Linked DNA regions of Caenorhabditis elegans. The protein of the gene in region 2 interacts with the protein of the main gene of each other region in a pairwise test. Each region holds a gene or a part of one and is shown on either strand. Other genes may lie near its edges.

The links.
Region 1: the proteins of T04D3.1 (region 2) and heh-1 interact in a two-hybrid assay, tested with the Caenorhabditis elegans proteins (one large-scale study listed by BioGRID).
Region 3: the proteins of T04D3.1 (region 2) and trmt-10C.2 interact in a two-hybrid assay, tested with the Caenorhabditis elegans proteins (one large-scale study listed by BioGRID).
Region 4: the proteins of T04D3.1 (region 2) and cdk-14 interact in a two-hybrid assay, tested with the Caenorhabditis elegans proteins (one large-scale study listed by BioGRID).

Annotation. Positions count from the first base shown.
Region 1 is NC_003281.10:3,196,410-3,202,507, forward strand, and holds heh-1 (Putative protein heh-1), read right to left. Parts: upstream 3,108-6,098; 5' UTR 3,107-3,107; coding exon 2,809-3,106; intron 2,286-2,808; coding exon 2,119-2,285; 3' UTR 2,068-2,118; downstream 1-2,067. Other genes in the region: R148.7 (uncharacterized protein), read right to left, coding at 1-10, 406-515, 559-635, 691-719, 1,883-1,897; frm-8 (FERM and PDZ domain-containing protein 4), read right to left, coding at 4,542-4,635, 5,446-5,724.
Region 2 is NC_003279.8:13,300,465-13,307,001, forward strand, and holds T04D3.1 (NTF2 domain-containing protein), read right to left. Parts: upstream 3,848-6,537; 5' UTR 3,829-3,847; coding exon 2,568-3,828; intron 2,508-2,567; coding exon 2,404-2,507; 3' UTR 2,295-2,403; downstream 1-2,294. Other genes in the region: Protein sepa-1, read right to left, coding at 1-237.
Region 3 is NC_003281.10:6,343,674-6,350,679, reverse strand, and holds trmt-10C.2 (tRNA MethylTransferase), read right to left. Parts: upstream 4,400-7,006; 5' UTR 4,302-4,399; intron 4,251-4,301; 5' UTR 4,233-4,250; coding exon of another isoform or gene 4,191-4,232; 5' UTR 4,190-4,190; intron 3,970-4,189; 5' UTR 3,966-3,969; coding exon 3,173-3,965; intron 3,049-3,172; coding exon 2,624-3,048; 3' UTR 2,270-2,623; downstream 1-2,269.
Region 4 is NC_003279.8:839,997-850,149, forward strand, and holds cdk-14 (Protein kinase domain-containing protein), read right to left. Parts: upstream 6,768-10,153; 5' UTR 6,750-6,767; coding exon 6,600-6,749; intron 6,496-6,599; exon of another isoform or gene 6,175-6,495; intron 6,147-6,174; coding exon 6,087-6,146; intron 6,004-6,086; coding exon 5,934-6,003; exon of another isoform or gene 5,853-5,933; coding exon of another isoform or gene 5,825-5,852; intron 5,766-5,824; coding exon 5,618-5,765; intron 4,344-5,617; coding exon 4,065-4,343; intron 4,017-4,064; coding exon 3,717-4,016; intron 3,102-3,716; coding exon 2,919-3,101; intron 2,866-2,918; coding exon 2,721-2,865; intron 2,679-2,720; coding exon 2,550-2,678; intron 1,981-2,549; coding exon 1,840-1,980; 3' UTR 1,746-1,839; downstream 1-1,745. Other genes in the region: ZC123.1 (Sperm mitochondrial-associated cysteine-rich protein-like), read left to right, coding at 1-96, 144-764, 1,222-1,584, 1,628-1,660.

The DNA.
Region 1 (6,098 bases), on a different chromosome or scaffold from region 2:
CGCTTGGCATCTGAACAAAAACTTGAAAATGAAAACATGTTGAGAACTAGCGAAGTTATTAAAAAGTTGTCAACTAACAAAATATAGCCCTTGAAATTCCCTACATTTTGTTAGTTGAAAACTTTTTGATAGCTCTTCTTCTAGCTGAGATACGCACGTTTGAAGCTGCGCGAGGCAAAATAGTGTGGGGGAGGGGAGACGCAGTGTGCGCGCGCCGTCTGCGTCTCTCCTCCTCCCTCACTCTTTTGCCTCTCTAATTTCAAACGCGCGTATCTCAGCTAGGAGAACAGCTATCAAAAAGTTTCCAACTAACAAAATATAGTAAATTTTACGAGCTATAATATGGTAATTGTCGATTTTTTGCTAACTGTTCCAGTTTTCGAGATATTCCAACTTTTCCCTTACCTCACAATCAGTCTCATCCTCATCTCTTATCTCGGAGTTCGCCTCAGCAGAATTGAGCTCAGCGGCTTTAGTGGCACGTCTTTTAGCCTTGGCACGTCTTCCCATTTCCTCTGAAAATAGTTTTATGATATTGGAAATGCTGGAAATAAATACCTTCAATTCCTTTTTCCGTTTGCTCGCGGAGCTGTTCGTTGAATGAAACTGCTGTCAGGCAGTCGGCGTCGAGCAATCTGGAAATTGGGAAAATGTGAAACTTTTGAGCAAAAAAATGTGGGAAAAGCTTACTCGAGCTCCGAATTAGTGTAATGGACGAGCTGAAAAAAGAAAAATAAATAGAATAAATAGTTAAAACTTTTTTTTTGATAAAATTTAAAAAAAAAATCACTAATCTTAAGATTTAAAACCACAAAAACTACTTCCTAAATTTAAAAATGTTCCAAAAAAACGTGTCAAAACCGCCTCGAAACCGCCACCCACTAAAATCCCGTAGATTTGGATCTAATTTGACCCCGAAATCTTCGCGAAAAACTGCCTAAAATCAAGATTACGGACATTTTTTGGGAAGGAACACGACTGTTCACTTTCACTGATGTTTAGAAATAATAGATGGAAAAATAAAGTGAATATTTGAATTTTCCATAAAATTAAAACCAAAATTTCGAAAATCTGAACAAAAAAACCAATTTATCTCCAAAATCTCTACATCTAGCAAAAAGTTATCAACTAACAAAATGTAGCTCTCTAAATTTCCTACATTTTCATAGTTGAAAATATTTTTATAGATCACTTCCCCGCGGAGATATACGCGCTCAAAGTTTGAAGCTGTGAGATATAGTGGGGGTAGGGGAGACGCAGCGTGCGCGCGCCGCCTGCGTCTCTCCCCCTCCCACGCACTCTCGTTACTTGAGCACATACTGATATTCTAGAAAAAAACCTGCATATTCGGAAAAAAACCGAGTTTCTTTTGTTAAATTTGAAAAAAATTGAAAATTTTCACGTTTTGAGAATTTGGAATTTGGATTTTTTTCCAAACTTCGAATAAAAAATTCAAAAAATCAATAATCGTCGTTTTATGAGGAAGCTTTCAGAATAGCAAAAGTATTGATTATTTCTAGAAAAATTAATTTATTTAGAGTACTAAAGCAGGTCCTGAATGTTCTTAACAGGAAAAATATAGGCCTTGAAATTTCCTATATTTTCTCAGTTAAAAACTTTTTTCTAGCACTTCTCCCCGCCGAGATACGCCTTTTCAAAGATTTAAGGCGAGAGAGTGTGGAGGGAGGAGAGACGCAGTGTGCGCGCGCCGCCTGCGTCTCTCCCCCTCACACACTCTTTCGTCTCTTTAGTTCCGAACGCGTGTATCTCTGCTGGTAGAAGAGCTATCAAAAAGCTTTCAACTAACAAAATATAGGGAATTTTAAGACCTATATTTTGGCAGTTGACAAGTTTTTGATAGCGTCAAAACTAAACTCCTTACCGCTTCATTCGACATTTTTCCAACACAAGAGACTTCACTTTCACCAGATTTGAGAAGGAAAATATTCGGAAATGATTGAAAATTGACTAGATTTTTCTTTTTTTTTGAAACAAAATAACATTTAACAGGGGAGGGGGAGGAGAAATTGTGTTTCACGTGAAAAATATTTTTTTGCAAATTTTTAAAAAATGCTCCAAGTCTCTTTATTATCAGAAGTATACAATAAAATCAATAATCTATTCCTTAATTTCAGCCAAGAAAATAATGCAGACTTCTTTTCCAGAATCGGGACGAGTAAGCTGCCAATTGACTTGAATAACTTCCCCTGCTGGATGATTCTCGGTGATCGAGATCGATTGTTCGAAGATTTGATTTTCGCCGGCGGAAACTGGGCATTTTACACCTGAAATTTGAGATTTTCAGAATTTTTCAGTCGGTGCACTTTTTTTTGGAAAGTTTTAAAAGTTGATTTTTGGCGCAGTGGCTAACAGGGATGGCTGGGGCTCACAAGACCGGGGTTCGAGACCGCATGCGGGTTTTTTGTTTTTGCAGGGCTTGCTTGCATGGCTTAAGGGCAATTCATATCGGAATAGCTTTAAAAAATTTTTCAAAAAATTTTGAAAATCAAAATTTTTAAATTTTGTCTTTTTCCTCACTTCAATTTTAAGTAAACTATTTTTAACTTAGATTTTCAGATTCTACGGGGCTTCAGCTTTCAAATGACCCCCATATTGCCTATATTCCGCTGTTTTTGAAAATCGAGCCTCTATGCGCCTTTAAATTCGCGTCGAGACTAAATTTTTAATTGAAAAACTCGAAACATTAGAAATTTTTGAAAAAAAAATCATACAAAATTCAAAAAAAACATTTTTTTCAAAATTTTTTTTTACAAATTGTTCACATCCCCCAAAACTACAGTAACCCACCATAAGTACAAGCATCCGAGTTAGTTTGTGGGAAGTCAACCATAGCACTGCCGCCAACCTTAGCGCGCACGGAGGTCTTCAGTTTGTCGGTGTCCTTGCTTGGTTTGAACGCGATTTGAATAATTGGCCGGCTTCCTTTCTTGAACAGGCAAACTTTCTTCCCGTCCTTCACTGTGAGCTCACATCCGTCGGCTTTTACTTGGGATACGGTACCGTCGGATTTGCACACCTTGTAGCCGATCTCAATGAACTCGGCGGCGGCCAGGCCAAGCAATGCCAGGAAAATTACGGTCTTCATACTGAAAATATATACCTCTTAAAGTTTCTACAAATGTATTTGAAATAAGAGCATCAAGTGCTTTTAAATAACACCCATATTGACTTGGTTCCGTTAATATTGAAAAAAATTGGGTCCCGCCACGAAAACCTCCGGGGTACTGTAGCAACATTGCTAAACTTGAACAAGCTAATTTTTCCAGCTGGAAAACATTTGATTCTACATTCTACAGCAAAAATTAACAGAAAATCTTGGAAATGAGCAAAGTTATGGATTTTCGAAAAATTTCGAAAAGTAGGCATTTTGGAAATTTTAAAAAATTACTGTAAAGCTTTTTAATTTGAAGTTAACACTGAAATTATACTATTTTCGTGTTCAGCGCACCGAGGGCTTTCGAATAACACCCATATTGACTAGAATCCGTCAATTTTGAGTTTTGACCTACCTATGCGCCTTCAAATCGCGACGGGACCCGAAATTTTCGATATAGGTTTTGATATCTCAAATTAAAAGATGATTAAAATTCTGAATTTTTAGCAAGGTGATGTGCTTTTTCGCTGCTTTTTCTTGAAGAGATGGCATCAATTTGGAAAATTTGAGTCTCGCAACGAAAATTCAAATTTAGGCGCAGATGGTCGGCAATTTTCGAAATCGGCGTAACTCCATCAATATGGGAGTCATTTGAAAGCTCTTGATGAGCACAAATCATAATTCTTGTTCTTCAAACAAAAAAAAATCTAAGTTGAACAATGTTACGGCAGATTTAAAAATTTAAAAATTTTCAGAATTTCGAACATTTTCGAAAATCCACAACTTTTTTATTTTTCATAATTTTCTAATAATTTGTACTTCACCGTATATTTGAAAAATGTAGTTTTTAGTAAAAAATAAAAACTACAAAAATTGGCGTTTCCTACAGTAACCCCAAAGGTTCTCGTGGCGGGACCCAAAATTTGCCGAAGTTTATCAAAATGGTCGGAACCTAGGCAATATGGGGGTCATTCAAACGGGCTCAATGAGCTGAACTCGAATATTAGCTTTATATTTAAAAAAAATAAATTTTCAGCTATAAAACTTGATTTTTAGCTTAAATTTTTCAGTAAAAAAATCTTTAAAATTAAAAATGTTCCAAAGAGCACAATGCGTGCTTCAAGGCAAGCCCATCTGCCACACAATGACCCCATATCACTTCTTGTCAATTTTCGAACAGTTGTCCCCATCATTTCTCTGCGGTCTCTCAACTTTACACTATCTTTGGCTCCTCCCATTTTTCTTGGGCTCTGGTGTGGTGGCTCATAGGCGGCTCAGAAAGCTGATTTATTGGAGGGAAGGATGGAATGGGAGAAGGGGACGGGAAATTCGTATCACAATGCGATAGGAATGTTTCTGGGAAATTGTGGAATTTCGGAGAAAATTCGGAGAAAATGGAAAAAAAATTGAAAAAAAAATCAATAATTTATAAAAGTGGTATATCATCATCGATTGCTGCTATCGAACAACTATCACCCAGCATTGAGTCACCGGATACCGGAGTTGAAATTAAGTTTTCTCTGAAATAAAAAATTTTTAAGTTTTGAAAATAAATAAAAAATTTCTCAAAATTTTTTGTTTCTCGAAAACATTATTATATGTTTTATTATATTTTTTAAACTTATTTGATTTGTTTTTGACACACTGAGACCTTTCAAATAAGCCCCAAATTGTCTCGGTTCCCCAACTTTTTCAATTTTTGGGTCCCTCCACGAAAACCCCCTAGGTTACGGTAGTCTAGGTAACTGCTTGCTTAAAAATATTTTTACAGAGTAGAAGAAGTTTAACCATTGTGTAAGTCAAAAATTAGAGATTTATAACTTTCAAGGTTTTATCTATTTCTTTGCTGTCAAATAAAGTTTTTAACGTTGTCTAGCAAGAAAAATTAGCAAAACTCAACTGCGTTGAAATTTGCTACAGTACACTCAGAGATTTTCGTGGCGGGACCCAAAAATCTCAAATTTCTCGGAAACTAGTCAATATGGGTGTTATTTTAAAGCTCTTAATGAGATTACCATGAAAATGTTGTGTATTTAATATTTTTCGTAAAAATTATAAAAATACTGAAAGATTGAGATTTTTTGAACAAAAATATTTTTTTTCGAAAACAAGTTTTTCAAAAATTTATAACTTTGGGAATTTTCAAGATATTTGGCTGGTTTTTATTTTAAACTTTAGCCCAAGTGTTTATTTATCTTGTAAAATATTTTTTAAGTTGATAGCATGATTACCGTAATCAAGAAGTTTTCGTGGTGAAACCTAATTTTCAAAAAAAAAATTTTTTTTTTGAATTTTTCTTTTTTTTTTCAAAAAATAAAAATCCCCCCTACCCCTGATAACTTTTTGCGCACGATCCATTCCTATAGCACCGAGTCTTTCCATTTGCAACTACCGTAGTCGTGGAGGTTTGCATGCCTTCTGGCAGCGCTACGTCATCATTTTCCACCTCATTCTCATCGGGAATTGTCGGAAATTGTAGAATCAGGCTTTCCAGGTTTGTATTGGGATTTTGATTGTTCTGTAGGAGGGTCTCAATGGATGCTCGGCGAGCCGGAGGTCCGGTAACGAGTAGATTTATTCCGTCACATAATCGATCGATATTTGGGGATCTAAAAACGTTTTTATCTTAATTTGCGAAAAAAACCCTGAAATTGTGCAATATTTGCAACATTTGAAAAGATTCAAAATTTTGGAAAAAAATTCGAACATTTTTTTCCGAAAATTTTCGAAAATCCATAACCTTTTCAGATTAACTGCTTTTTGGTTAATTTTTGCTATAAAATTTTGCAAAAATATGGAATTTTAGTGTAAAAATATTATTCATTAAGTAGCGCGCCTATGTACAGTAACCAGTAGGTTTTCGTGGTGGGACCTAAATTTTCATTTTTTTGGGATGAGAGGGGAACCTAGGCAATATGGATGTCATATGAAAGCTAATTTTGAGCAGATTTCAAAAAGTGTATGAAATTCTTGAAAGTTTGAA
Region 2 (6,537 bases):
TAGGTCACTGTAGACAGCGTAGTACGGAGAAATGTGCTTCTCGGTGAGAATTGGTTGGCATATGAGGCATTTGTGAGGGATCAAATCACCAGCATCCGTTTTCTCATAGCAAAAGCGTTGTCTGTTTGGGCGAAGAACACTGACCACGTGGATAGCAGTGGCAGGGCACTTTCCGAGTGCAAACTTCGGTGGAGGTGAAGGCGCTGGATTGGAGGTAAGAGCAGAAAGAGGTGTCATCTTGGAGATTTTTCTGGAATTAAGGTGTAGTTAGATTAAGAATAATTGAAAACGTATACAAATGCAATAAAAAAGTGATAAGTGAAATTACCAGGCGCGATTAAAAATAGGAGTTTAAAGGAAATTTAGAAGTATAAGAACCACTGCAAAAAATCAAAAATGAAAAAGTAGTGAGCAAAAAGTGTTGTAGGAGTTAATACAAAACGACGAGTGCAACAGGACATATAAACGTATCAAGTAAAGTTTATCGATTGGTAAATGCTCCCGCCAACTCCGCGTACAGAACACCTGGGAATAAGCAATCAATACAGATTGTTGTATAATACTAGGCGGGAAGATGCACAAATTTTGTGGGCTAGAATTTAGGTAAGGCTACTGCTAGGGCTGAAAATTAAATAAAATGAATCGAAAATATGAATCTCGTAAATCCACAAGTGCGGTACGGTTTTTATGGGCGATGCCTTTTCTGACGAAAATTTCGGCGTTAAATAGGATTTTGGGATTTTAATAAATTAATATAAAATCACGGAAATTTTTTATATTTTTTTCACATCGATATTTGGTATCAGGGGCATAAATAGCGTCTTTAGTCCTCCTTTGTGTTAAAATCAAGTTTTGAATAAAACCATCAAAGTACAACTGATATTTTTTGTCCAATTTTTGGTAAAACCACAAGTAACTACAAGATACACTTTTAGAAAAGGGAACTACGGACATATCAATTTCAAGAATACATCATATTTGAAAAAGGCAAAAAGGAAACAAATACTGTAGTTCATAGCCGAGAACAAAAAAATGGAAACAGGAGCTCTAGAGACTGACTAGAGAAAAGAAAAACGACCTACTAGAGGCGATGCAGGCAGACTGAATGATGTCTTCTGCTCTTCAAGACAACTCAGAGCATCTGGAGCAAACGCTGCAACCAATTTAAATCGATACTCAGCTCTTGGGATACCAGATTCGGGAAAGAGGTGGGAATTGGCAGATGTTTTTATCGACTGATGTAAGATTGAGACGACTACCAGGAGAAGATCTACAAACGAATGTAGTATATTGATGGTTTTTAACAAAATTTCTGGGAACTGATTTTACAGATATGGTAAATCTCAACATGTTACGGCTGCTGATCTAATAGAAAGAATTATCGGCAATCTGAACAGAAAAGTATCCAAGATATGGGCGGAGCATGAACTGAATATGGCACCGCCCATATCTTGGCTACATGTACTTCTCACATTTCTTCATAAATTTCTCCTATACTCCCATTATTAAGACAAAGCAAGGTCAGCTTAAATTCCCAGACACTGAGCAAGGACGCGATCCACCTGAGAGTAATTCGACCAGGGGTGGACGGCAAATGATTTTTTGCCGGAATTTGCAAATTGGCGGAAATGAAAATTTCCGGCAAATCGGCAAATTGCCGGAATTGAAAAGTTCCGGCAAATCAGCAAACCGGCAAATTGACGCTTTGCCAAATTTGCCAGAAAAACGGGCAAATTGTGGTTTTGCACATTTTTTTTGGAAATTTCAGAATTTCGATTTCACTCAGCAGACTTTTACGCATCCTATGAATGTTCCTACATCTATTTTTAAAAATAAGCAAACTCTATGAATATATCTAAAGAAAACGGAATAAAATTTCAAAAAGGCACAGTTTTAAGTGCTTCTGTCATATAAAAAGCCCCTCTAAACACTTCCGGCAATTGGCAAACCGGCAAACCTCCGGAATTGAAAACTTCCGGCAAATCGGTAAACCGGCAAATTGCCGGAATTCAAAACTTCCGGCAAATCGGCATCTTGCCGCTTTGCCGAGTTTGTCGACAAAAAAATTTGCCGAACGGCAATTGCCGCCCACCCTTGAATTGGACTACAAATGTGGACAGAAGATTCATAGAATCAGAGAAAATTACATCCATTTGCCGGATTTCTTTTGGAAACGTGCCCCATTTTAATTTGCCTCAAAGAGAACCTGGCAATCCCATTCTAAAAGACTATGACGTCAAGCAAGATTTTCAGCAATGATTTTTTTCCCGCCGTTTCTAAAGGCACACAAATTTACAGTTGTCTTTTATTTATGGAACATCGGGAAGAAAAATGAGACCGCAAGACAAAATAAAATAAAAAAATATGCAATTTAACAAAAAAAACTAATTTTAATCCAAATCCTCAAATCTGTTCCAATTCCTTCTGAACATATGGTGGCAACGATCCGCCGTAGAGAGTTGTCAGGCTTTCCACGAATTTTTGTTTGAGAATTGACATGCCATCGTCTGAAATGAGTATATTTTTAGAAAAATGAATAATAGTATGGATTAAGTGTTAAGGGTTACCTGGGGCATCCTCCGGAATATCTGGAGAAGTTGAGCAAGATGGGCCATCAGAAAACGGATCATCACAAAGACGGATCTTCTCGACCAAGACATCCAACTCTTGAGATTCTTTGGATGCCTTCTTCTTGGACTTCTTGATCTTTTTGGCCTTCTTCTTCTTGTCCATCTTCTGCTTCTTCTCCATAAACTGAGTATCAAAACTCTTGATCACCGAATTGGGAACCTCCACGAAATGTTTTTTGATCGAGCAATATACCTCCTTCTTCAGTCTTCCTTGTGCACCCCTCATGATCACTGTTGTCCCTTTGAGAACGAAGAAGATGCTCGAAGTCGGATCCTGATCCTTCGATGAGTCATACTTCAGCTCTGGCTGATTCACTTCAACAAATCCCTGAATCTTCGAGTCGAAGACATATTGCTCCATGCGATCTGTGAAGGAGTTGAAGACGTGAATCACATAAGCCTGAATCTCTTCGCAAAACTCTGCATACTTGGGGAGAAGATCCACTTCTCTGGTTGTATCCGGACACTTCTCACAGTCGAGGATCTCGAATTGACTGGTGCTCTGATTGTATATGTACTTTTCATAATGACCACGGCTGGTGATAATGTAGAGAACGTACATCTGAAAGTCTTGGCAGAATGTGGTTTTAAATGCTGGAAGTGTTTCATTGTAGTCAAGATGTTCAGAACTGAGGGAGTCGTTGTCAGACCATGGATCCGCGTCATCAAATTCTTCGGCGGCCAAGAGTTGAACCTCAACTTTTGGCATTTCCACGCACTTCCCAAGTCTGTACTCCAACTTCCGAACTGCTTCGTTTCCTCCACGCTCGATCAGAACTTTCTTTCCATCAGAGTTCTCAATCATCACAATAAAACTTGATTCCGTGAATTTTTCAGCCGAGTAAACCAACTCCGGATAGTCGACCTGCTGGAAGCCACCAGTCTCGAACGAGTAGACATACTGCTCCACCTCTTGCGTAACCTCATTTCTCATAAAAATCACACTTCCCGAGGCATACATCGGTGACAGGTGATCTTCGAGGATCTTCACTGCACAACTGGAGCATCTGTGTGGAATGAACTTCCTGATTTTTAGGTCGAAGATGAACACATTGTAGGTTCCATTTTGACGGGGTCCACCAATGATGGGAATCTCCATGATCGGGCAGAGTTTCATGAGGATCCGTGGAGTTGTTGGAGGAGACATTGGAACTTGGCGCTGAGTTGGAACAGCACATGGATATGCAATGAATGACATGACAAGTAGAGATGATGATCTGGAATTTTGGAATTATAAGGATTTCAAAAAAAAAAGAAAAAGAACGTCAGAACTGGCAATGAAAAGAAAAATTTATATATTATTTCAAAGTAAAGTTTGTTGGGTGCACTAGAGGACAGTAAGTAAGTGAAAACCCAGCTCAAGATTAGCAGAATTTCAGATTCCCAGGCGACAATTGTTTTAGTTTTGAACAGTTTTTTATATATTTCTCGTCCAGAAAATTAAGAACTTGCGCAGGAATTCCAATTTCAACCGACTTTAAAGATCCGTTCTCTAACAGTTTAAAACGAAACTTTCAAGTATTTTTTCTTGAAACAGTAAGTTCTTAAAAAAGTGAAAAAAATTAAACTTAAATATTCTAGAAAAACGCTTTCGAGGAACTTCTAGAACTAGCATAATTTTCAGAATGATAAGTTGCGCGCGCAAGGTCACATAGATTTGACTACCCCGTTCCCACATCAGCCAACGGATTAAAAATCAGTAGATCAAAGTTTTACGAGTGTTCTTTTGACATTTTTTGGCACCTAAAAATTAGGTCAATTTATTAGCCTAGCGGAATGGAGTACCGAAACAGTCTAAAGGCGCAGGATTACTTTTGAAAAAAAAAAGATTAATTGCAGAACCATTTTTGAAGTGAAAACTACAAATTGGAATAATTTAATAAAAATGGCTCTTATAGAGGAGAAAAGGGAAAATTCATAAACTTACAATTCGAAAAAAAAGAATTGGATAAAATAAAGAAAATGAAAATGAGAGAACAGGAAGAAGAGACCGACAGTCTACTGCATAATGACCTTTTGAGCAAGGCCCGCGAACATTTACGACCACCGTCTGCCCGTCTGCGTCGTGCATCTCTCGTACAGGCTATCCGTGTTTTGTTGTAGATCGACTGGGAGAGACAGTGTTTGTGTATGCTATAAATCTGTAAAGAAACATCTCTGACCAAACGAAGGATTATAGAAAAAAACAAACCTAGAAAAAAACAAACCTAGAAACCTTCTCAGGACAGTCCTTGTGTAGGAGGACTGCCTCTTATGGGGACTTTGATGTGATGTGCTCCAAGTGATAACATTATTAAATTAAACCTGTGAGAATTCGATGAAAAATTTTCTTCTATGTTTGATATTTCATTTGCTTTGTTCAAAAAATTGAGATGAGACAAGTTTTATGCGTATTGTTTTAGTGCAGAAACAACATAACTTTTTAGCGTCTTGTTCTTGAGTTTCAGAAAAAAACCGGCAGAAGCAACTTCTACTCGACTTCAGCTACACAAAAGACGATTCAAGGAGGGTCAAAATGTTTGTTAATCATAGAACCTTCCAGGAGTCGACAGAAAAAACACGGGGAATGGTAACTAGCAACTGAATGAGCACGGAAAAATTATTATGTTATACCTACAATGCCTATAGTTAATTGGAAGTTTGAGCACAAATACTGCATTTTAAAATAGTTTTTCCCTTCTTTATTACGGAAATTTGTAAGACCATTATTTTATATGCAAATCCGTTAATATTTTCAAGCCTATGAAGCAGTCTTTAAGGTTTCAAATACCGTATTTCCTCTATTAGTATTGCACCCGACTACTTAACTTTGAAACGTTATATCTCGGTTCATTTTAAAGATATCAATATATTATTAGTTACAAAATTATAGAAAAAGAGCTAATAAATATTTTGTTAGTTGACAATTTTTGAATAAGGCAAACGATAACTGAGATATAAGCTTTCAAAGTTGATGTGAAATTTAACATTTTCTATTCCATTCTTTCCTTGTCAATAAATCCAAAATAATTGGAAAAAAACCTCATGAAACAGCAGCAAGATCCATTTTTTGACCAAAGTACCCTAGTTTCAGATCGATATACCACTGTAATGGTCAACAATCGATCGGAATGTCAATTGACAAACAGATGCGTACACCTAAACTCCGCCCAATTGTCGTAGTTGCTCTGTCAGATCGACAGTACACATTTCTTATTCATTCATTCATTCATTCATTGTACCAGCACACGAAGAGGTTGCTCTTTTCTGATTTTGTTTCATGTTTGTTGCCAGTTACCGTCTTGGTAATTTATGATTTTTTTTGTGATTTTTCAAAAAAGAAGTCGTTTTTAATTGTCTATCAAACCTTTTTGAACTCAAAACTCCTATCAAAATGCAAAGAAAATAACTTTTAGGGCAGAAAACCCTCTGAAAAACAGTACATCGTACATTGACAATACTTTTTGCTCACTTTGTTCCATCCTTCATAATCATGTTTAATTCACTATCCTCAAATTTTGCTGTAATTTTTTCTGCCAACTCTTGGGAAATTCCGTGAATTTCAAACATTCAGAGTCTCTTTATGTACACTATTATCGGAAATTGAAAAGTGAGCAAAAAGGGTTGTCGATTTGCTGGTCCCTCCAGGTCCATGAAATGTCTCAAAATTGCCACAAAACGGACAAATATCATGCCGATACTTTAAAAAGCCCGGAATTTTTCACAAAACGTTACAAAACGTATGTCTTTTGGGAAGTTCAAAACGTCTGAAATCGTTCAAAAAATGTAGAGTTTCTTGAATTTCACAATTAACATTCCTTCAATTTTCCTGCAAATTTCTTGCCCTCATGTCCACTGTGAGTGGTTGAAAAAATCAAAAATCCCTTAAAAAAGCATTCCTACAATCATTTTCCTTTTTTCCCTCATC
Region 3 (7,006 bases), on a different chromosome or scaffold from region 2:
ATGGATAAAGGAGTGAGAAAATTTGATAATGTTCGGGAGAATGCACTCGAGAAACATATCAGATTAGATTTTCCAATTGAGACCTTACATGACGTGGAAGATGGATATCCTGTTGAAGTTAGAAAACGAAATAGAACAATAGAGAGTCAGACAACAAAAAAGGGAGCCATCGAAAAGAAGGACAAAACTCATTTGTCCTGGAACACGAAATAAAAAACGCATTCCTTCGTGTAATGAGGGGTCGTTCGCATTCAGCTCAAAAGTCACGGAAGCCTGTCACATTTCTGTTGAAGAGCTCATCGCGTTACTATAGTGAAACTGAGCGGGCTGTGCTTCAAAATTCTGAATTTGCTCTTTTGAACAGTGTGACGATCGTTTTTTTTTTACTTTTAAAGAAAACAACAAGATATCCGAAAATAGTAGATTAAGTCAAAATCAGATCCGCTACGACCTGACGATTTGATAATCGTTCCAAATGTTACAAGGACTCAAATTTAATCTTCCGGATAATAGAATCTAGGATAAAATATCCGGCAAGAAAAGGAGGAAGATGACGATGACGAAAACGGCTCTGCTTAATTGCAATTTCTGACATGGTTGTGTGCATGTTTGTATGCGTAGGAATGTGTTGTCGTTGTTGTTGAAGAAGAAGTCGATTTCAGCCAGAAAGAAGAGGCAACACCAAAGCAGAAGAATGCAATTCAAACAAAAGAGGCATGAAAAGCAACGAGCAGAGACACAAAATCCTTTCGAAATCAAGGCTTCAAAAGAGCCTTAAAAAGGGCATTTGCTCTTGCAAATTTCTCTCTCTCTCGTGATCATCAACCCCAATTTACTGAAAAAAAGAATTATAGCTAGACCCCAACACTTTGGAGTAGCGCTAAACGTGATGACGACAAATCGGAAAGTGGGCGTGAAAACTAATAATAAATACCCAGGGGCGTAGTTGAGTTATTCCATCGCTTCTGCTTTTTTCTTCACTAAAAAAAACCATCGTAAAACCACACGTCAGCTGAATAAAATTAATATTGAAATCAAGTTGGAAATGAGATGGATACGCAAAAGAAAAAACTTCACATCGCCGTCGTTGAGCAGAGCCAGCAAAAAGAGAAAGTGACAGGTGGAATGTTGTGTCAAATACGAAAATGTGACTCTCCACTTTACATATATGGCTTTTTTGCCAGTTTCTTTCCTTTCTCGGAAAAAAAACACATTTAAAACGGTATCACAGATCGACGCCAGCATCAAAACTAACAGTAGATGAATAAGTAAAATGCAAATTATGGGAAAGTGGTTGCCCCAATGACCAATTCAAATGTTGAAAATAGTCTAATTCAAAAGTTTTTGAGTTCACAAATCGTATGTATTTAAGTAGCATTCTCAAGTTTTGGAAAGGTGAGAAAAAATCTATAAATAGAAAATCAAAGAGTGGGGCGAGCGGGGGTTCGTCTTCAACCTTAACTATCGTGTGTATATCAGCGGGCCCTTTTCCCACTTCTCTTGTAAATTATTCAGGAATCGTGGCACCAAGCAAAAAAAAATGAAAAGAGTGAAAGTACTTTCAATAATAGTTTAGCGAGAACTGATTCAGATTTAGAAATATGCCAAAATCCCAAAATCGAACAAACTTCAAAATAATTATCAGTTCGAAAAATTTGTTCTAAGAATTCAGTAATTATTATACTGAAACGTAAGCAAATATCACTCGGAAATCTAGAGCTCGATCAGTTTCCAGTAAATGTAGCACCACAGGAAAACACAGAAACAGAGCTCTCTCGATTCCGAAGAGGGACTCCGAGAGGAGTCGAGGGGCGCGTGGTGCATTCCTTCTTCAATGCTTCCGTCCCTCAACAACATGACCAGATGACGTCAGTTTAATGGCCAGCGGCCATTCAACACGGCTCCAGAATAGAATTGAGAAGACAGCAAATAACACAGAAAAAACCAAGTGCGCACGAGTGGGCAGAACGAATCGACGGATGGCTGAATGAAAGCGGAAATACGAAGGAAATAGGCAATAAAAGTTGTCAGTTTCTCAGCAGTTTTTCCTTATTCGGTTTCAGTTTTTTTTTTACTTCAATATACGAAAATTGATATTTATAGCGCAAAATTTGGAACAAATTAGCTTTGAATTTTCCTATTTTCTTCGGATTATCGATACGCACGCATAAGCTAATAAATCGTATGTCATTCAATGGAAAAAGTAAATGCTTTGAGCACAGATTAAACTGAATTAAAAAATAAATTAATAAGAATAGTGAGAGATAAAATCAAAAAAAATTTATACGAACATTCTTAAATGGAAGGTAAATCAACAATCAATAATTATACAGTCCAACAAATAAGAAATAACAATAATTTGCAAAAACTAAACATTCTAGCTACCCTAACCAAGATAAATGAAGTGAGTTGCCACGCTCAGCTTCACCTGTCTGAAAGAGCTAGAGAAAAAGAGTGACTGACACTTAAAGAGAAGTCAGAGCTGTCTGTCGTTTTTTTTGCATGGCATTAACTAAAAAGTGAAATTGACTTCAATGATTAATCTATATTTTTCTAAAATACTATATGATTTTCTTGTCAATTCGACAAAAGCTCATTCTTTTCAATTTCAGCCATTCACTCTTTAACCCTTTGTAGCGCTCATAATTGCCTCAGTCAATTCTCTACGTTCCTCCTCTCTCGCTCTCCGCCTCAGCATTTGCATTTTCTTCTGTTCGTCGTCATCCGCATTCACCAAATGCCTTTTACTGATGTTGTTGTGTAGAGCACGGCTCCAGTCTCCACCATTCATGTAAACTTCGCGGAGCACATTCATTATATTGGGAAACGGTAAATATTGTGGCCCCGACTTCCATTTCACGTATCGATGAATCGGTAATCTATAGGCGCGAATATTGGCACGACGAGCAGCGCTCAAAGCTTCTCGTTTCCGTCCCATAGTGACACAAATTCCAATTACATCGGCAGTGAGTGGACCATCGAGAACATCTCTAGCGTTTGATGATATGTAGATAGTGTTCGCAGATTTTCCATAGAATTCTTTGATTCCTTAAAATATTCACGAAATTTTTTTTTCTTCAGATTCTCTTCCAAAATGCAAATTTTTGGCGATTAATCAACAAAAATTCAAATTTATCGATTTATGAATTCCATTTCAAAACGTAACACTAACCCTTTGTCGAGAAATCCGGCAGAATCGTTTGGTTTATATAATTTCCCGTGTAATATCCAACACTTTTCGACAACCATTGTTCCAAAAATTCTTTAGATGGAGAATTGACAAAATCCAGAACAAATGGACTTTTGGCCGAGAAATTCTCGCTGATCGTGTACTGCATTTGATTTCCGAGCTCTCCAGAATCGCGTTTATTCATTTCTTCGACATATTGAATATCAAGTGCGATGCGTGGTGCTCCGGAATTCATTGCGGCAAATATTTTGGACCCTTCGATATTATTCACTCGTTTCTGATTTCTCATCGGATTCGAAATGACTTGATACATCTCTGGTCCGTATCCCATTCCACCAGCTGTATAAATTCTTTGCTGCTCTTCCAAAACTTTCTTGTAATTCTCTGCACCGGAACTTTGAGCTTTATTCCTACTTCTTCTTCGCTTATCAGTGACCGCTAGATACTCCCAATATCCAATCTTATCGTTTATCGATTCACAAATTAAAGTTTGTTTCCATGCTTCATCACTCATTCGTGTCGGAACATACTTTCCCATGTAAACGAAGATTTCAAACTCCTTGAGTGCAGTCTCATACTTTTCCTTGAGTTCTTTTGTTAAGCTTCGTTCGAATACTTTAGATGGTTTCAGGCTTTCAAACGATACTTCTTCCTCTTCAACTGGTGCTGTTGCTGATGACGATGTAGAGGAAGAGCCTAGTGCTCGTGCTTGACCATAGCAAACGTGGCGCTGTGGCAGGAGAGCTCTGGCGAAGAAGCGAGTGAGAGGGAACATCTACCTGCAAGAATCAACAGTTCAGTACATTCGATTCAGATATCCGGTAACGACATTGTGATGATAAAGTGTAGAAATTAGCGGATATCATGGAATGTACAAAACTGTTGACCCATCTCAATATCGTCACTGGGTAATAGGTAAGGGAATTAAAGTCCAGAAGTAGAGAAAAAAGTCCAAAAGTTAGCAGTCCACGTTAGCAACATAAAAGAAAAAAACCTAACCTTACTGTTCGTTGCCTGAATGATGACTGATCCGACGATTCAATTCGAGTCCTTTGGCTTTCTGAAAATAACTTAAATTTAAAAAAATCTGCTTTGAAAATTCACAGCTCACCTTTTTAACAAAGGCACTTAGTTTGGCAGACTGCCAGTTGAACTTTTATTCCAGCTAAACTGCTTGTATGGGCGCTTTCAATTGAATTTTACCTGAAATTTAGAATATATATTTGAATGAAACAGTTCCACAGAAAATAGGAAAGTGAGAAAATGAGAGGTGAAAAAGAGAGAAAGAGGGCTTGTTTACTATCGCAAATGAGTTACTTATCTGCATCAGATGGATGGCAATAAGTGGGAGGGAATATTTGTGCATTTTGAACGAGAGTGAACGATCGGAAGAGAAATACATGCCGCACCTTGTGTTCATCATATAACAGGTTAGCTTTATAAAATGAGCATTCTTTTAATTTGAACTATTGCTTGTGTTAGAACATTCACCTAACAGAAAATGAGCGTGATGAAAAAATTATGAGTTTAAGCTTTAAAAATCAATTCAATGAACATTGACGTCATCAATGTTAGAAAAAATATCACAAGCGGGAACACAAACGAACTGTAGATATTAAAATTATTATATGATATGGAAAATATTACGCCTAATAAAGTGATAATATATTGAGACACTATTATCGCAAAAAAGATGATCGACGAGTGGCCGCGACACAAGGAGAACCGAACGAAGAAGTGGTGCGCTGGGTGGAATTCAAGGTCAATCGAACCTACAGGTGGCGCTCCTGCCATTTTTTGCCGCTTTGTTCGAAGGTCAGAAGGCTAATGAGGAGTGTGGAGCTCCATGAATTTTAGGAAGAATATTGAATAACAATTTACTATGAAAAAGTTATAAAATTGGCAGCTTATTGTGAAACTTGAGATTACAGAAAGCGGATTAGAGAACAGATCCTGATAAAAATTAAACTCACTTTTCAAATGTGCAAACGTTTAGTTTTATTGTACAGAAAACTATTTAAATTTGTTTTAAAACTGTTTTTTAGGATTTTGATCAAGGAATTCCGTTTAAATTACTTCAAAATCTGACAATGTTGAGAAAATGAAAACTAAAGCTAACGAAAACTTCACAAGAAACAAATTTCGGAGGAGGAAAAACATTTAAAGTTTCAGTTTACATAAATGTTCTCGAATGCAAAAATCTATATAAGAATATAGCAATATGAAATCGATTTTCGTGGACTTTAAGGATTTCATGGTAACTTGAGCTCGTGATAAGTTTGAACTATGATCGCTCATTGAAAGAATCCTAAAATTATTGTTCCCAAATTCTTGCCGTTTTCATGAGAAGCGAAAGAAAAATGAATGAAACAAAAGAAAAGCGACAAATCGACATTAAAATTTTAGAAATTTTCAAATGTTCAGTTTAAAAAAAAACAGTGGAAAAACAAGAGGAAATCAGTTAAAATTCAGGGTTTGTCTGAGAGTCAGTAGCAGAGAAAAGTGAAATAGTGTGGGAAACGAAGAGAGTCATACAAAGGGCAGATGGTGTAAACATTCGATTCGACGGCAGATTGCACACAAAAACTTACCGTAGTCAAGCGTGAGAACTTTGGCAAACAATTTTTTCTTGAATCGGATGGGAAATGATCACGCAAAACTGACTCTGTTTACTTATTTACACGAACGCTTGAAAATTATTGAAATAAAATGTCTATCGATCGATTTTTGAATGATCAAATTCACGTTGAAAATAAAAAATAAATTGTTGACAATAAATGTGTTAAGAGAAAATTCTCACGCAAACAAGATCACGTGGTGGGAATTATGTTGTTGTCGGTTTCTTTAAAAACTGAATGTTGGAGGACAACTATACAATTTTATCGTATTTACCTAAACTATTTAAACTGATACGATTTCTAAAATTAAGATTATTTTAGAGAATTCTCGGAATAATATCTCTCGCGAAAAGAACTTCGAGTTGTTTTAAAAATTAAAGTTATGAATTTAAATATTCTGATTAAATTCCTAAAGTTTGAATTTAAAAAATAAAACATGAAGTAAGAAAAGGAACATGGAAATAATCGGATTTTTATTTAGAAGGATTTTTTCATTTACCTGTGTCGGTTTAGGCGGAGTACGGTATTATATTTTAAGATTCAGTTATTATATTGCACCAGAATAAGAAGTATTGCACACTCTAATTGGACATATAACAATGAAAACCTGAAAAAATTTATCTACTTTTTCCTCAATCTCCCACGTCTCTACATTACCTTAACCCCTACCAAGAAGTGCGATTTTCAGACTGCTGCTTCTCCTCATTTTTTCTGTTTTTATGTATATCCTTTGCCAGATTTTCTTTCCTATTTCTCACAATAAGTCAGTTACCATGGAAATCGTCGGTGAAGGAGCTCCAATAAAAATCCGAGAATTTGATTATGGCTCCGTTGACTCCCACGCCGGCAAACAAGCGCTTATCCGAAGAAGCTGAACCAATCACTCACACGGCTACTTCTTGACGACGACGAGGACTGATTAGCTTTTCAGTTTGAGCTACTGAAATTTTTTCGGGTTATCCCATTCTGCTTTAAAATTTTCTTAATTCAAGTTTGAGAACGGGCTTATTCTTGTGGGTCTTCCCACGATCAATCCAGGAAGAGAATGACAAGAGTCTTCAAAGCCACATTCCATGACCCTAGAAGGACTTAAAAATATAAATATTGAAAAGAACCCAATAGTAATTTTAAACGAGACAGGCTTCTTTCGTATATTTGCATCCTCGTAAAGTCTTTTTTGTTGGACAATTTCTTATTT
Region 4 (10,153 bases), about 12 Mb from region 2:
TCTGATTGGAACCCGTTCCTCGGAGATCAAACGCCACGCGGATCGCAGTCGCCAGTTGGAACTCCACTCGCCGGGCACAGAACTAAGAGAGCTGGCGTGAGTTTGACTCATAGAAATTAACGAAGCTAAATTTATTTTTGCAGTGCCTTCCTCATCCACAATGTACCCTGCATGTCCGTCGCTATAAGAGAAACCTGATCGGATCCCAATATTGTGAGCCATGCAATGGACACTACGGTAGAAAGAAGCGGGAAGCCGAGAGAGATCAGTGCTTGAAAAGAGAGAAAAGATATGCAGATGAACAGTGTGATAACGATGAGTTCAGTATCAATGAGCGAAGCAAACGACAAGCCTACAATCCAAAAGGAATTTTGGATATCGTGAAGCTCCTATCCAAGGCCTCCTCAGGTGGCAACAATCCAGGAGGATGCATGAAGTTCCCAGCCTGTGTTCTGGCTCAGAAGAAGAGAAGAAAGAGAAATGCAGATCGGCTCGACACGTACTACAAAGCTGTGGAGGAGCACAAGAAGCTGGTGGAAGAGTACGAGATGGCGATGGAGGAGCACAAGAGAGTCAAGCGGCAGTTCTTCGCTCCGGATAATGCTGCATCCTGTGTTCCGTGTCCGGCATGGGTGACACTTGCCTTGGCTAGCAGAAAGAAGAGAGAAGTCGAGAAGGTGGAGAAGCATATGACGATGAGCGAAGCTATCGCGGATATCAGAGCAAAGAAGGGGTATAAGGAAGGATTTGATGATGATGATGAGGTGAGGACTAGACCTGAAATTTTAGATCCTGTAAGAACTTTTTGAAAATTCCAAAAAAAAAACCCCCTAATTGAATCACGCGCGCACGCGCCACTGAGAAGGATACTGTATTCGCGGCGAGACCACCTGCACATCTAACTCCCAAAAGTGACGAATTTGGCCTAAAATGGACTTTCTTCATGGGATTTCCACAGTTTTCACCATTTTTTTGACACAGTTCATGACTTTTTACACTCAAAAAATTATTGGCGTGGTCATTTCACAATGATTTCAACAATTTACTGGATTTTACGCGTGTACTTCATCGTGGCACACCAAAAATTGATCTGGTTCATGTGGTGTCAGAGTGTCCCATTTTGGTTTGATCTACGTAGATCTACAAAAAATGCGGGAGTTGAGAGACGCAGAGATCTCAACTGGCGTCACATCAATGCGGATTTTAAAATTTTCATTTCAGGACGACGAATCCTCTGAGGAAACCATCGAGACCCGCAGAAAGCAACGCCGCTCCTGCCAACAAAGTGACGATTGCCTGAACAACGTCGAGTACGCAGTCTTCCAAAAAGTCTATGCAGACAAGAGAACCAAACGAGAAGCCGTGTTCCGTCGTAAGAAGTGCTCGAGGTGTGGAGTCTCTGGGCTCACGCCACATCGTGTCAAGAGAAACTTCGGGCAGCCGAATATCAACGTCTCGGAGCAGAATTGCATGGCATTCCCACAGTGTCGGCATAGAGTGAAGAGAAACTTTTTGGGAGAAGACTGTAACATCTGTACACAGGATACTGGTCTGAAGCGGAGGAAGAGAGACTTCGGAACAGCGGTAGGTGTTGGTTTAATGAGCTTCCTTATCTTAAAGTTTTCAGCAATGCTACCCATGCCCAGGAACACGTTCATAACTTGAAGCGACTCCCTCCGATTCTCACATATCACATAAATACCACCTCGTAATAATAATTCAACATGACTAATAAAACAAATAAGTACATACATACATTTATATTAGCTTTTAGCACCCGTAGCAATTTGGAGCAAGAAAATATGTGTAAAGAAATTGGAGATGTAGTAGATTTGGTCGTTATAGTGATCGCAGATCTTTCAGCTCTTTGAGCCGGAATATTGACTGGCTTGGAGCCAGGAGATGAACCTCGCGGGGGAATGAGGCAAAGTAGGGGTGAAGCATTGCACTGGCTGCGGAGACACGGCTTTCCGGGCGGAGCTGTAATTTTGAGGGTTACAAGATAGGTGTAGCTCGATGTCGATTCATTTAGACTAGCATTGCAGCCAGGGCTTAAGCTTTCGGCTTGAGCTTGCACTCAAAGATTGCTGCTCAATATAGCTCGCGAAGACTGATTTGTCAAAGATTAGACTAGTAGGCCTGGACTGACTTAAAGGTGGAGTAGCGCCAGTGAAAATTTTGTCAAAATACATACATAATGATCCGAAAAAAAAACCAAATTTCATAATAAAACAATCCAAAAAATTAGATTTTTCACAATTTCAGGTCAAATTTTTGGCAAACTGCTAAAATTTTGAAAAATGAGCAATTGAGGAAATCTAGAGCAATGTCGCATGTTCCGACCCCTACAATATTTTAATACAAATAATTAAAACACAATTACAGTATAAAAATGTAGGAAAAAAAATTTTTTTTTTGTTGGTCGACTTCCAAAATTATGAGTGGTAAAATTACAGTAAATAAAAAATTTTCAAAATTTTTTTGAAACGTTTTATTATGATATTCGGTCTTTTCGGGACTAAAGGAGTGGTTTTTACAAGTCTACTTACCTGAAGAAGCATCCCCAGAAGTTCCTGACCAGTCTTCAGAATCTTCGTGAACATCGGGTTCACCGCGATGAACGACAACTCCCGATACCTGGGGAACAGTTCAGGGGTGTAGCCTGGTAATGTCTTTACCTGAAACAAACATCTTTATCTCTAGATTTTAGATTCCCTCACCTCCGGCCACTTTTTCTCGTCTGGAGTACCCCGAATGCTGAAGATCATATCCAACTGGTCCTTGGTGCCGGGGTAGTGAGAGTCCTTGGATCCCGGGAACAAAGCGGCGCCCGTGCAAATTTCAGCGAATATGCAACCGACTCCCCTGCAAAGTTAGTAGATATAGTTGGTACCTTTTATAAAATAATATCCTCCTACCACATATCCAGGGAAGTTGAATAGTCGGTACTTCCCATGAGAACATCAGGCGGGCGGTACCATAAAGTGACCACCTCGTGAGAATATGTCCTACTCGGCACAGATTTCGCCCTGGCTAGACCAAAGTCTGCGAGTTTTAAAACACCGTCTTCGTCGAGAAGCAAGTTTTGTGGTTTTAAATCTCTGAAAATCAGTTTTTATCAAGAGTTATGGCCGCAACGGCGCCTCCGCCGACCCCAGCGGTCGCCGCGCCGGCCTCCGCGGAACCCCGAAAATGTCCGCCGCTCCAAACAACCACTTTTTTGCACTACGTTGCGCACACACCAGGCTACTCATTTCACGCCAAGCTGCGGAACACCGAACGTGTCCGCCGCTCCAAATAACTCCCTTTCGCAATACGTTGAGCACACACCAAGCTGCGGAACTCCCAACGTGTCGGCCGCTCCGAACAACCACTTCTACGCACTTCATTGCGCACACACCAGGTTACTCATTTCACGCCAAGCTGCGGAACCCTGAACGTGTCCGCCGCTCCAAACAACTCCCTTTCGCAATACGTTGAGCACACACCAAGCTGCGGAACCCCCAACGTGTCGGCCGCTCCGAACAACCACTTCTACGCACTTCATTGCGCACACACCAGGCTACTCATTTCACGCCAAGCTGCGGAACCCCGAACGTGTCGGCCGCTCCAAATGACCACCTTTCGCGCTTCAACGGCGTCGGCGTGAGGCCCGAATTTCGCGCCTCACTCTGCTGGGAGCCCTATCAACACTAGGGAGCAGTTTGAAAACTAACCTATGAAGAATCTTCTTCCTATGACAAAAATCGAGTCCGCGGAGAAGTTGAAAGAGGAGAAGCTTGATGTCAATGCTATCCAACCCATAGACGTTCTGCTCCAGGTACTTGCTCAAATCCATTTTCATGTACTCGAACACAAAAGTTAGCTGGTGGTGTTGATAGAAGATGTCGTGCAAAGAGACGATATTCGCATGACGGAGGTTTCTGAGAAGCGAGGCTTCACGGATAGCGGTGAATGGGAGACCTTCTTGAAATTGAAGTTTGATCTCTTTCAAGGCGACTATGGATCCGTCAAGTCTGAAAATATAATTTAGTTTGGTAATATCAGCTGTTAAAATATCTAACTTCGATTCGCACTTATACACCGTTGCATAAGATCCTTCCCCCAGCTTGTCAATTCGTTTGTACAGATCATTCACATCCTGCGGTGTCACTTCCTCCTTCGCAGGAAGCGTTATCGTATTTGGATCGTAGTGTGCTGATCGTGGTCGACGTCTTCGAAGATGTGTGAAGTCGGCCACAGTGTTGCTAGATGGTGGTGGTGGCATTGATGGAGAGTTCTTGTTTAGGGGCACGGTTGACATGGTTTCAGATGGATTGTTGGAGCGGGAACGTGATTGGCGGCTGAAATGGTATTACTAGGGTTTGATTCGGAAAATTTTCTTAGAAAAACAGTTTGGCGGGAAGTTTAAATTTTCTGATTAAAAATGTTGGCGTAAGTGGTGTCGAAGTGCCCCATTTTGGTTTGATCTACAAAAAATGCGGGAGTTGAGACAAAGACTTTTCAACTGATTTTGCAGGATTAAGCTGACGTCACATTTTCCTGGGGGAAAAATCCCCGCATTTTTTGTAGATCAAGCCGCAATGAGACAGCCTGACACCACGTGTTGACGGGATATTTAAATTTTCTGAGAAAAACATTTTGGCGGGAAGTTCAAATTTTCTGAGAAAAACATTTTGGCGGGAAATTGAAATTTTCTGACAAAAAAATTTTGGCGGGAAATTGAAATTTTCTGACAAAAAAATTTTGGCGGGAAATTGAAATTTTCTGACCAAAAAATTTTGGCGGGAATTCAAATTTTCTGGGAATTAACTTTGGGGAGAAGTTCAAATTTTCTGTAAAAATTTTGGCGGGAAATTGAAATTTTCTGACAAAAATATTTTGGCGGGAAAATCAAATTTTCTGAGAAAAAAAAATTTTGGCGGGAAATTGAAATTATCTGACAAAAATATTTTGGCGGGAAAATCAAATTTTCTGAGAAAAAAAAATTTTGGCGGGAAATTCAAATTTTTTTTTTTTGAAAAGAAAATTCTACGGACCGGAAACGGCCCAACTACGGCTCAAGAGCCGTCTCGGTCGGTAAATGTGTTTTTTGCTCTAAATAATGCATTTAACGACGTAAAAATGCTTAAATTAGCCAACTGGTATCATAGGTATTAAAAAAATTCGTTTTCTTAAAATCCATTTTTTCCTCTTAATGGCCATTTTTTTACATTCCCCGTAGTTTGCCCGTAATTGGTCCGTCCCGCTTTTCATATCCGTAGTTCACCCGTTAATGGTCCGTTCCCGGTCCAAGATCCGTAAACGGACCGTACCGGCTTTGCCTGTGGTCAGATATAACTAGTAAGTCAAGTGGTGTCAGGCTGCCCCATTATGGTTTGATCTACTAAAAATGCGGGAATTTTTCCCCCAGAAAAACGTGACGTCAGCACACTCTTAACCATGCGATACCAGTTGAAAAGTCTGCGTCTCTTCTCCCGCATTTCTCGGAGATCAAACCAAAATGAGGCACTTTGACACCACGTGGTAAGTTATAACAAACATAACAAGGTGTCGAAACTACTGTAATTATAGTCTTACTTCAATATACAACCTAATAAGAATCTCCACCACTTACCTCAAAAAGCTGAAAATATTCTTATTATGATGTTCTGGTGTGCTTCCACTTCCGGACCCCGATGATGCCCCATTCACATGATTGGAGTGCCATGATTGTGTCATTTCATTTGTTCCGTTTTTCGAGATCGGAGATTTGGTGGAGCCTCCTGAAAAAACAGAAATAAATGTGGAATTATATGGGGGCTCATATGTTTTCGGAACTAACCTTTTTGGGAGAAGACTCTGGAGAGCATTTTTGTGTAAACTGACTAACTTGTGCCACCCCCCGCACCCCATAGAATAAATTGGCTAAAATTTCGAAAAAAAAAACTCGCCACCGCCGTTATTCTTGTATTTCTTCTCCTTATTCCGACTCCGACGCAAAGTGAAAATTGACGAGGACGGCTGGAATAATGTTTTGTGTTTGTGTCTTGTGGAAGAGATGCAGAATCGCCGGAAGTTTAGAGGGGGTGGCGTGACTTACTGACCTTCCGGGTGCTCGGCGAGCCGTCCACGTCCTGAATTCGTTGCGGCGACATTGTGGTGATCTGGAATATGTGGAGCGTAATCGAAATATTTAGGCTTAGGCTTAGGCTTAGACTTAGGCTTAGGCTTAGTCTTCGGCTTAGGCTTAGGCTTAGGCTTAGGCTTAGGCTTAGGCTTAGGTTTAGGCTTAGGCTTAGGCTTAGGCTTGGGACTGGGCTTAGGCTTGAGCTTTGGCCTAAGCTTAGGCTTAGGCTTACGCTCAGGCGTAGGATTAGGCTCTGGCTTTGGCTTTGGCTTAGGCTTAGACTTAGGCCTAGGTTCACGCTTAGGCCTAGGCTTACAAGAAATATCCTCATTTACCGACCGACTGTGGCCTAGGATTTCAAAAAATGACCCTTTTTGAAAAATCGAAAAATCGAAATATCGACGAATTTTCGTTTTTGAGGCGTTTTTTTAATTTCAATTTTTATAATTTTTTTCGGTTTTTCGATTTTTCTTGAAAATACCAAACTCACCCTATGCAAGTTCTCCGACGACTTCGAACTCCTAACAGCGGTGAGCTGTGGATGATGTATCATAGACAGTGAGCACGATGCTCTCATAGGCCTCTCGGCCTCCTCCAGCCCAAACCATACTCCAATATGCGAGGTTATTTTTCCCCACATTTGATTGAAAGATGGTATCTGCAAGTGAAATTTTTGGGTGGGGAAAAAGAACGTGAACGAATAATTTGGAGCAGCGGGGGGGGGGGTGGAAAAATGAAGAGCTGCTCGGAGGAGGGAGCCGTACTACGAAATGAGAAGAGGAGAAGCCGGTGTGACGGCGGGGCGTTAATGGGTTACTAAAGCCTCCACATTCCCATTTTCAGCCGTTTCGAAACAAAGAAAATAGAAGAAAAAAAAGACAGATGAAAAATGACTTGGGTGGGTTCGGTGAAAAACAGGAAGCAGGAAGAGTGAGGAAATTGGATGGTGGAAGAGTTTTGGCATTTCTAGGTTACCGGGAATCTTTAGAGACACCTGGGCTGTCCCATTACAGTTTGATCTACAAAAAATGCGGGAATTTTTCGCCCAAAAAATTTTCAACAAATTTAGATATTTTTTACATTTTTTCCCCAATTTTTTCAGCCATATTTCAGCCATGACTGTCCTTTTTTTCGGGCAAAAAAAAATTTTCTCTGAAAATGTTCGAAACTACTAAATTATGCAAGAAGACAATTTTTAAGGTTCGGAGATCAATTTTGAGTCCTCTAGCTTCAAAATTATCCATTTTAGAAGAGTTTTAAAATTGTAATTTTTTACAAAAATTGCTCAATTTTGCCACTTTTTAATAGTTTTCTAAACCTAGATTTTCTGAATTCTGCATATATGAATTACCCGTTTTCAACAAATTTAGACAATTTTTTTCATTGTTTCCAAAATTTTTTTCAGCCATTTTTCAGCCATTACTGTCCTTTTTTTGGGCAAAAAAAATAATTTTTTGAAATTACATTACACACCTTCCATGTTTTCTTCGTAGATTTAAGGTCCATGTCCACTGCTTGGTGGAAGAGTTTTCCGAGTTTTTAGGTCACCGGAGAATTTGAGTTGGAAGAGTTTTCGCATTACTCCCCAACTGTGATAGAACTTCAAAAATGAATATGCAGGGACATCACTCAAATTTGACATGTCAGTTTAAAGGAACACGCTGATTTTCCGAGTGGGTCTCGCCACGATCCAGGTGCTAAATTTTCACAGTTTTTAGTATGTACCTAGTGGCTTATTTCTAAACAACACGCGCATAACATCGGAGTGTCGTTGCATAGGCCACTCTAAAACATAAACAAATGTGTGAAGAAAAATTAAACACAACTAGCACGGATTTCTGACGTCCCTCAGAAGTTGAAATGGAAGAGTTTTTGCCGAACTAGGCCAGGCCATATTCGGGGTAGATTTACGGCGCGTCGCGGCTCGATTTTAGTTGTAAAACTAAATGTATTTGTCCGTGTGGAGTACACGACTTTCCCAAGCGTTGTCCGGCAGGCGATTGTCAATGGAGCGCGAAAATTCAATGAGGAAGGCCAGAACCCCGTGGGATTTTGAAATTTTTTTCAGATATGACAAAAAATGACAATGCCAAATTTAAAATGCATTAATAGCGGACAGAGGAGAGAATAAGTAGGGAAAAAAGAAGAAAAAAAAAGACGGGCGGCGCTTCTCTCATAAAATAGTAATTGGTCATTCTAAGTGTGCCTATTGTTCCTTATTTTTCGCTTTTTCTTGGCTCATTTTAGCTCAAAAACCAAATGTCGAAGAGTTTCTAGAGAACTAGGCCACGAGAGGGAAAAACTAGGTCACTGGAATTTCTACGCTAAAAATTTGGCCCAGCATATTTACCTACGTGGCCGTAAAAGAGAAAGTTCGGCCACTAACTTTTTCGGGCTATCAAAAAAGGTTTACCAAAACTTTATAAAAAAGAAACCACTTGTGGAAAATGGCCGTGCATACTAAAGTTCGGCCACAAACTTTTTTAAAACTTTTTTGCTCAAATTGAAGTACAGGACCACTTCGATGGGCGGTTTTCACTACTTGGCCGTGTAAGAGAAAATTCGGCCACCAACTTTTATTCAAGGCCACACCTCCAAATCCTTCAAAGCTTCAAAAATTTTCTACGTGGCCGTGTACGAAAAAATTCGGCCATCATCTTTTTTTTGGGTCACGTCGCTAAATTCTTCAGAGCTTCAGAGATTTTCTACGTGGCCGCGGGAGAGAAAATTCGGCCACCAAATTATTTTTTAAGGCCAAACCTCCAAATCCTTCAGAGCTCATATTTTCTACGTGGCCGTGTACGAGAAAACTCGGCCACCAAATTAATTTTGAAGGCCCCACCTCCAATTTCTTCAGAGATCATATTTTCTACGTGGCGTGGCCGTGTACGAGAAAATTCGGCCACCAAATTCTTTTTTAAGGCCAAACCTCCAAATCCTTCAGAGCTCCTATTCCCTTCGTGGCCGTAGGAGAGAAAGTTCGGCCACCAAATTAATTTTTTAAGGCCACGTCGCCAAATCCGTCATATTATGAGGAAAAAAGTAAAAAATAATACTAATAACAATTGAAGAAAAATTGAAAAATATAAAAATATAAGAGACTAGTAAATGAAGAGGAATGAAGAGCGAATAGGAGGCCAGAGAGAGAGAGGGGAGGAAATTGTGCTGTTGAAGACCTTGAAGAGAGAGGCACAGCAATAGATAAATTGAATTACAATGGGGTGAGGAGCCGGGTCTGTCCCCCCCCCCCCCCCCCCCCAAAAAGTGCGAACAAATGTGATGAAGCGCAGAGAAAATCGGGAGGGGGGGGGGGGGGGGGGGCTGTGCTCCAGGTTGATTGAGCCAAGTGTTTCGACTTTTTGCCGAACACGTTGAGCTCTCCGATGAGCCGGGCTCACCGGAGAGCCCATGGAGCCCCATGAAGCAGAGGGTCACAAGGTTTGAGACTTCCGGGAGATAGACTGCACAACGTACAAAGACTAAAACTTTTTTTTTTTGCAGGTGAGGCATGAAATTTAGAGCTTTTTTGCAACAAAATCCAACATTTTTTTTGTAAAATAAGGTCAAATGACGAGTTTTTTCTATAATCTGGCCGAGAAAACCTGAAAATTGATCTACCTTGATAAACAGGGCGCGCGGGTGTAAAGCGGAGCGTCGTTGTGAAGCTGAAATATTGTTGAACGAATTCTGGAATTCTGGCTTCCCTCATAAATTGAAATGGAAGAGTTTTTGCCAAACTAGGCCAGGCCATATCTGGGGTAGATTTACGGCGCGCTTTTTTTTGGGCATAAAATTCCCGCATTTTTGTAGATCAAACCGTACAGCCTGACATCACGTGTTTTTGGCCCCGCTAAACAGGGCGCGGGTGTAAACATTCAAATATTATGTGAAAAAAACGCATGAATTTGAACAATTTTGCGTAGAATTTTTGAACAAAAAAATATATGAATAACTAATGCAAAACGAACAGAACTAAATTTTCTGAAATTGAAGAGAGGGGAAAAAAATTGGGAAATTTTGGACATTTTTCCCAACGACGCATTG